Arabidopsis thaliana: one gene and its partner. The protein of the gene in region 1 purifies or fractionates together with the protein of each later gene. This does not show direct contact. Each region holds a gene or a part of one and is shown in the gene's direction. Other genes may lie near its edges.

Region 1 (3,926 bases):
GAGAAAATAATATAAAAACTTTTATTTTTACCTTCAAGAGTAGAGCATTGCAAGACTGTTTCTTAATAGCTTCAGCTATCCTCTTCGGGTTAGTGACTAACAAGTCATCTCCCACGAGTTGGATATCCACAGAGGATTGCAATGAAGCCCATGAGCTCCAATCATCCTGGTCAAAAGGATCTTCGATAGAGACAATTGGGAAATCCTTGATGAATTCTCTGTAGAGGTCAGCAAGACTCTCGGCTGACAGTACGTGAGCTCCATCGTTTGGCTGTTTCTTGAAGTTCAAATCGTATCTACCATCTTTCATGAAAAATTCTGATGCAGCAACATCCATTCCTATTTTGATCTGCAAAAATTATATATTATGTGAGTGGTGTAAGATTGACACCGAAGCTGCCAGAAGTTGTTTAGGGAAACACAGATGACATGCAACTTTAGCAAGTATTAGCATTAAAAAGAAAGAGAACTTGATTACCTTTCCAGTGTAACCGGCCTTTTCAATTGCATCTATGAGCAGAACTAGTCCCTCTCTGTTATCTTGAACATTCGGCGCAAACCCTCCTTCATCTCCGACATTACAAGCATCTTGACCATACTTAGTTTTGATTATCCCCTTCAATGTATGATAAACTGTAATCAACAAAGTACATTAAATGCATTACTATCAGAAAAACAATTCTTTGTGATAATCCAAAGAATAGAAGAACTTTGGAACCAAAAGAGAAATATGAAACAGGAAGCTGCTTATCAAGGCTTTTCTGTTTTTCTGACATTTCATTGCAAACTCAAGAAAAATTAGGAGCCGCCATAGTTTCTTAAGTTCTAGCAAGTTAAACCCAGTTATCACTAACTGACCTTCACTTCCCATCTGGAAGGCCTCCGAGAATGAGGTAGCTCCTACAGGTAGTATCATAAACTCTTGCATAGCCAAACTATTCCCAGCATGACTGCCTCCATTGATCACATTGAATGCAGGAACTGGCATGACAAGCTCCTTTGTTCCTGATGTTTCCTGGATGTGTTTGTACAAAGGCACTCCTTTAGCTCCAGCACCTGCCCTGCAAACGCTCAATGACACTCCTAATATCGCATTAGCCCCGAGTTTCGACTTGTTTGGGGTCCCATCCAGTTCCAGCATAAGAGCATCGACATCAGCTTGGTTCCTTAAAGAAAATAAGGTAAAAATATTACATTCAACTATCCATCACCGATTATAGTTTCCCAACGGTTCAGAATCAGAAACCACAAACGGAACAATTCAACAATGACACCTACTTCAACACTTAGTAGTATCAAGTATGAAGCAAAATTAAAACTACATGCAACAAACAACCTTAATAACCTTAACTAGAATTCCAAATTCAACAGTCATGCATTACGATTCGAATCCAAGTCCACCAAATTGACCAGTAGTAATCCAGAGCAGAGAAACAAAGCTAAAACAACTCCGAAGATTTCTATCTAACTAAGCATACCAACTCCAAATCACGACGTTTATATGTTCATTTAGATTGAGGAACGAATTCTTATTCTCACCTAACGTCAACTCCAATGAGTTTTGGAGCCACAAGTTCATTGATGTTTTTAATAGCCTGTAATACACCTTTACCACCATAGACGCTCTTGTCTCCATCTCTAAGCTCAAGCGCTTCGTAGATCCCGGTAGATGCACCACTTGGAACAGCCGAACGATACAGATCATCGGTAATCAGATCAACCTCCACCGTCGGATTCCCTCTACTATCAATAATCTGTCTCGCTTTCACTCCTTTCACTCTGCACTCCTTAGCCACCACCGAGCATTGGACACCGCTGCGACGGAATCTCAGACATGATGGCGCAGATTCCAAATATCGTTCGCCGGAAACACGCGACGGAGAGAGGAAAGATCTCTGAAGATGGTGAGGTTTTGTAGTCAAAGCCATTACACGATACCTAAAAAAAATACTCTCTGTGATTCTTTTGACTAAAATGGAGAAGCGGAGAATAAAATGATGTTATATAATTTGAAAAACGTCCTTTTGGAGGTTGGTGCAGGCGGAGGCGATGAAAACTAAGGAGTCAAAAGAACCATACTTAAACCGGTTCATTTTCCAATTGGTTGACTGTTAAAGAGAAGTTTCTGGTTTTGGTTTGGTTCGGTTCGGTTCGGAACAATTCAAATAAATAAAACAAATCAAAAATATTCACTAGCAAAGTAGTAACCAGAGACACTGTGCCGTCGCCCGTCGCCGCCGCCGCCACACTATCATCTCTCTCAGGTTTTTGATTTTCCACGGCAATGGAGTCTTCGATTCTCAAAAGCCCTAATCTCTCTTCACCATCGTTCGGTGTACCTTCAATTCCCGCCTTATCCTCCTCCTCCACCTCACCATTTTCATCTCTTCATCTCCGATCACAGAACCACCGTACCATCTCTCTTACCACCGCCGGAAAATTCCGTGTCTCGTATTCTCTCTCCGCTTCTTCACCTCTACCACCTCATGCTCCTCGCCGTCGTCCCAATTACATCCCTAACCGTATATCCGATCCCAATTACGTCAGAATCTTCGATACAACTCTCCGAGACGGTGAACAGTCTCCCGGAGCTACACTAACCTCCAAGGAAAAGCTCGATATCGCTCGTCAATTAGCCAAGCTCGGAGTCGACATCATCGAAGCTGGATTTCCCGCTGCTTCAAAAGACGATTTCGAAGCTGTTAAAACCATAGCTGAGACTGTTGGCAATACCGTCGACGAAAATGGCTATGTCCCTGTAATCTGTGGTCTCTCGAGATGTAACAAGAAGGATATTGAGACGGCTTGGGAAGCTGTGAAGTACGCTAAGCGGCCAAGAATCCATACGTTTATTGCCACTAGTGATATTCATCTGAAGTATAAGTTGAAGAAGAGTAAAGAAGAAGTTATTGAGATCGCTAGGAACATGGTTAGATTCGCCAGAAGCTTGGGATGTGAAGATGTTGAATTTAGTCCAGAAGATGCCGGAAGGTAATAGTTTTGTTGTAAAATGCCGTCATGGAATGTTCTCAAGTTCCTTTTTTTTTGGATTCGATGGTATTTTAATGTATTGATGGTCCTTTATTAGTAGCTGATTCTGCTAACGTGAAATGTTTAATTGGTGGCCAGATCGGAGAGAGAGTACTTATACGAGATTCTTGGTGAAGTGATCAAAGCTGGAGCAACCACTCTTAACATACCTGACACTGTTGGTATAACCTTGCCTAGTGAGTTTGGTCAGTTGATTGCTGATATTAAAGCTAATACTCCTGGGATCCAAAATGTTATAATCTCTACACATTGTCAGAATGATCTTGGACTCTCCACCGCCAACACTTTATCTGTATGCCATTTTTTTTTTCATATTTGGTTGGATCGGGTTAGCTGTTAGAAGTTATTACTAACATGTCAATCTTTTTTTGAATTCAGGGTGCACATTCGGGCGCGAGGCAAGTGGAAGTGACTATCAATGGAATTGGCGAAAGAGCTGGAAACGCTTCATTGGAAGAGGTCAGATATGAAAGCCTCCTGAAGTAGCTTCCTTTCCATAGTTACTTAGATATTATGCTACATACTAAGGCATTATGACTTTTGTGATTTTCAGTTTATGATCTCATAGTGAACTGCATATAAATACTTAAATTATTTCTTGAACATTTTATTCTTACTGTGTAGGTTGTCATGGCCATAAAATGCCGTGGAGATCATGTCTTAGGAGGCCTATTTACTGGAATCGATACCCGGCACATTGTTATGACAAGCAAGATGGTACACATTTTGAACTTCATTCTTAACTCTGTGGAAACAAAAGTATATTTTTCTTATTTGGCGATTTTCCTTTTTTTTAAGGTCTATTCTCATTTTCTCAGGTTGAGGAGTACACTGGTATGCAAACGCAGCCCCATAAGGCTATTGTAGGAGCAAAC
Region 2 (3,926 bases), on another chromosome or scaffold:
TCAGTTGCTGCAAATGAGACAAGAGGAAAGTGGAGCCCTTTTGCAATATCGGAAATTGTATGAGCAACAGAGGATGAAATTGGACCGATCATAGCCACCACTTCTTTCTCAAGCAATTCAAAAGCTGCAAAACAAAAACCACTGAAGCTTAAACCAGGCCCTTAGTGGTAAAACCAAAGTTTTGTTTCCACTTATGTACAGGAAACACAGGTCCTAGTAACAGCCTGTTTAGGGTATGCGGTCTATATTGTTCTATGCATTATTAGCATTCGGAACCCAAAATATGTACCAATAAAAAACGGATTAAAACGTAAATCGATGTGCCAATCATTTCCAACTATCACAAAATGAAATATTGTTGCTACTGATGTGCATTGACCGCTTTCTATAATATGTTTGATATACTGTATCAGCCATGGATGAGTGTCACAAGTGTTTGAAACACAAAAGAACTAGAAGAACAGTCACGGTACCTCCAAAGGACCCACGAAAGACATTGCAGGCAGAATCCTCCATTAATAGCCGTAGCTCCGTTTCTTTGAGAAAGCTTTTATCATTGTTCACATCGGAAACAGCTGCCTCTAGAGCTACTTTTGCAGCTCTTCCGATAACCGAATCAAAAGCAAAAACAGCACCGATGTTCACCAGTTGAGGTCTTTGGCAATCCATTGGAACCACCAGAATGACCACAATCAGTGCCGTAATAGCGACAGATGGGTCAATGCCCAGTCCCATGGAGATAATGCAATCAAAGTAAGGACCACTTCAGATAGTTTGTGTTGGAACTAGAACCATCTCATTTAAATCTAGCAACTCTTCATTCAGCATTGAGGATGAGAAGATTAGAGAACTAAGCAAGGTAAAGTTTCCAACTTTGACCTGTAGAGTCAATGCGATTAGAAGACGAATCAAGATCTAAGCGAAGAGCAATCACAAGTCAAACCAAATTGATTATTTTAGCTGAAAACTAGCAACAATGTGGATATGAAGACTTATATACACAAACTCATCCGGACAGAAGAAAAATCTGAAAAAGAGTTTTTACAAATTCATTGAAATTAACAACAGTGAGACATTCTCTTTACCTCTTTGAGCTACCTTCTGGTTCTCTCTGCGGAATATACGCAAACACTTTGTAGGCATAAGTTAAAAAAGGGAAATTTTACGACAACGCAACGAATTTTTAACAAGAGAAGTCAAGAACTATCTTTTTTAAAAAACCATGATTTGACAGGAGATTACTAAAGGAAGAGAAACAAAACTAGAGAGATCAAATCATGCCCAGAAATTCATCCATCATTCTTCTTCTTCTGAGAACAAAATAGAAGAGAGAAATTGAAAAACGTGTGACTGAAGTGCTTTTTTGATTCGAGCTCACAAAGTCCTATCTAGTCTATATACTCTATAGTCACAGCAGCCGTTTGTTTGTATTTTTGTTTTCAGTGGGGCCCATCATTATTGGGCCCTACATGTAACGGCCCATTTTGTTAAGTTTATTTAAGATTAGATTACAATATAAATATTTTAATTGCCATGTGTTAATCATTTTATTTCTTCTCAAAAGTTTATTCTCTTAAGTTAATTTGTCAATGAAATGTTAATAGTATTTCATTTTATTTTTGCATAAAGAGAGACCCGTAGCAAGGCAAAATTTGAGTTGGCGTTTTTTATTCATAATAAAGATTTTTAGGCGGCAAAAAACTATTACATAATGAGATTTTATCACTTATTCATCTAATAATATTTAATTAAATTACATATGTGTTTTTTTCTAGCTATGTCATTTATTTTTACAATTTATATAAAATTTTGATATGTTTCCATGTATATATATATTTTAATAAATGAAAACTCAATCCAGAAAACATAAATTTTGATTTTATTTTAAATTATATGTTTTTATTTATAATTTGTTATCTCTTTTATACATTAAGGTGTTTTTGCAATAATACAGTCTTAATTTTTAAAAATTACAATTAAGCCCTAAACTTTGTAAATGTTCCAAATTAGGAAGGAAATAAAGAAAGGAGACAACTTAAGGTTCTCTTATTAAATGCCATTCCCTTTCTTTCTTACAAGTCACAACCTCTCTCTCTCTCTCTCTCTCTCTCTCTCTCTCTCTGCGTCTTTCTCTTTCTCTCTGTCTGAAGTTGAGAACACGAACCACTGAAAAACCCGCGAAAGACTCGAGCACGAACCAACAATGGCGGAACCCAAAACCAAGTATGATCGTCAGCTAAGGTGCACTCTTTCTCCTCCCAACTCTCTTTCTCTTCTTCAACTTCTCTGTCTCTTTCATCATTCTTCTTAATTTCGCTCAAATTGTGATGATTGGGGATAAATTCATAGGATTTGGGGAGAATTAGGTCAATCAGCTCTTGAAACCGCGAGCATATGTTTGCTCAATTGTGGTCCAACTGGCTCTGAGGCTCTAAAGAATCTTGTTATTGGTGGAATCGGAAGTATCACCATTGTCGACGGATCTAAAGTAGAAATTGGCGACCTTGGAAACAATTTCATGGGTATAATTCTCTCTTTTTCATCTTTCTTAAGCAATGCGTTTCTTCTATTTGCTGTTTATTGACATTTATTGATGATTGTTGTTGATGTTTCAGTGGATGCGAAGAGCGTTGGTCAGTCAAGAGCCAAAACGGTCTGTGGCTTTCTTCAGGAGCTTAACGATTCTGTTAAAGCAAATTTTGTTGAGGAGAATCCAGACACTTTGATATCGACAGACCCATCTTTCTTCTCTCAGTTCACTCTAGTTATCGCCACTCAGGTACATTATGTTGAGGATTAGATAGTTTCTAGTCTTTGTTTTCAGATTTTCACAGAGCGTTTGCCTTATTAGTTTGTCATGTGTTGATTGTAGCTAGTAGAAGATTCAATGGTGAAATTAGATAGAATCTGCCGGGAAGCAAACGTCATGTTGGTTTTGGCTCGCTCCTATGGACTTACTGGGTTTGTTCGTATCAGTGTAAAGGTAAGATTTTTGTGGATAGAGTGCTTTGTCACTTGTCATATGGTCTGTCTGCTAACTGCTATGTCATGTTCGCTCTTTCCTGTCAGGAACACACCGCTATTGAGACAAAGCCTGATCATTCTCTTGATGATCTCCGCTTGAATAGTCCATGGCCTGAGCTGAAGAGGTACTCTGCTTCAATCTTCTCACTCGTTATGTGTTCTTGCCATTCTTTAAACTTGTGTTTCAAATTACTTTTAATCTCCACAAACTTGCAACCAGTTGAAAGAAAATCTTATTTATTCAATGATCTGCAGCTATGTGGAGTCCATTGATCTAAATGTAGAAGAACCCGCTGCCCATAAGCACATTCCTTACGTCGTCATTCTAGTCAAGGTGGCTGAAGAATGGGCTCAACACCATAGCGGCAACCTTCCATCAACCAGGGAAGAGAAAAACGAGTTTAAGGTATCCTTACTTTTTGTTAATCAGCAAACAGTTATTAATCTTTGTTTTTCTTGTGATTCCTTGTCTTTATCTCTCTTACTCCTTGAAATTTTAGGACTTAGTTAAGTCCAAGATGGTATCAGCGGATGAAGAAAATTACAAAGAAGCCCTTCTTGCAGCTTTCAAAGTCTTTGCTCCTACAGGAATCAGTAAGTATACATACACCTCGTCTTGACATCGGTGGAAACTGGACTTTTAAATATATACTATAGATGCTGGAAATAAAGAAATTGGTTGGAGAATGGGAAAAACTGCAACGAGAACCAAATGGACAACTATCTACTATTTTCATGAAGCATGATTCATTGCTGCTCATTCATAACAGATCAGTTAACATTGGAGTTCAAAATATGAAGTCAGTTTTCACATTGAACTAAACATGTTTTCTTTTTCTCCAGGCCAAGAGATTCAAGACATTAATCATGATAGTTGTGCTGAAGTTGGCTCAAATTCCTCA

The links.
Region 2: the proteins of IMS1 (region 1) and AXL fractionate together in Arabidopsis thaliana (co-fractionation; one large-scale study listed by BioGRID). This does not show direct contact.

The regions. Positions count from the first base shown.
Region 1 is NC_003070.9:27,839,974-27,843,899, forward strand, and holds the start of IMS1 (2-isopropylmalate synthase 1), read left to right. Parts: upstream 1-2,135; 5' UTR 2,136-2,284; coding exon 2,285-2,991; intron 2,992-3,129; coding exon 3,130-3,343; intron 3,344-3,429; coding exon 3,430-3,510; intron 3,511-3,675; coding exon 3,676-3,768; intron 3,769-3,869; coding exon 3,870-3,926. Other genes in the region: ENO1 (enolase 1), read right to left, coding at 32-349, 479-633, 859-1,166, 1,540-1,928. UniProt on the Arabidopsis thaliana protein: Catalyzes the condensation of the acetyl group of acetyl-CoA with 3-methyl-2-oxobutanoate (2-oxoisovalerate) to form 3-carboxy-3-hydroxy-4-methylpentanoate (2-isopropylmalate).
Region 2 is NC_003071.7:13,755,499-13,759,424, forward strand, and holds the start of AXL (AXR1-like protein), read left to right. Parts: upstream 1-2,094; 5' UTR 2,095-2,203; coding exon 2,204-2,241; intron 2,242-2,349; coding exon 2,350-2,522; intron 2,523-2,615; coding exon 2,616-2,779; intron 2,780-2,872; coding exon 2,873-2,983; intron 2,984-3,069; coding exon 3,070-3,149; intron 3,150-3,279; coding exon 3,280-3,430; intron 3,431-3,524; coding exon 3,525-3,618; intron 3,619-3,867; coding exon 3,868-3,926. Other genes in the region: GLR5 (glutamate receptor 5), read right to left, coding at 1-124, 474-735. UniProt on the Arabidopsis thaliana protein: Regulatory subunit of the dimeric ECR1-AXL1 E1 enzyme.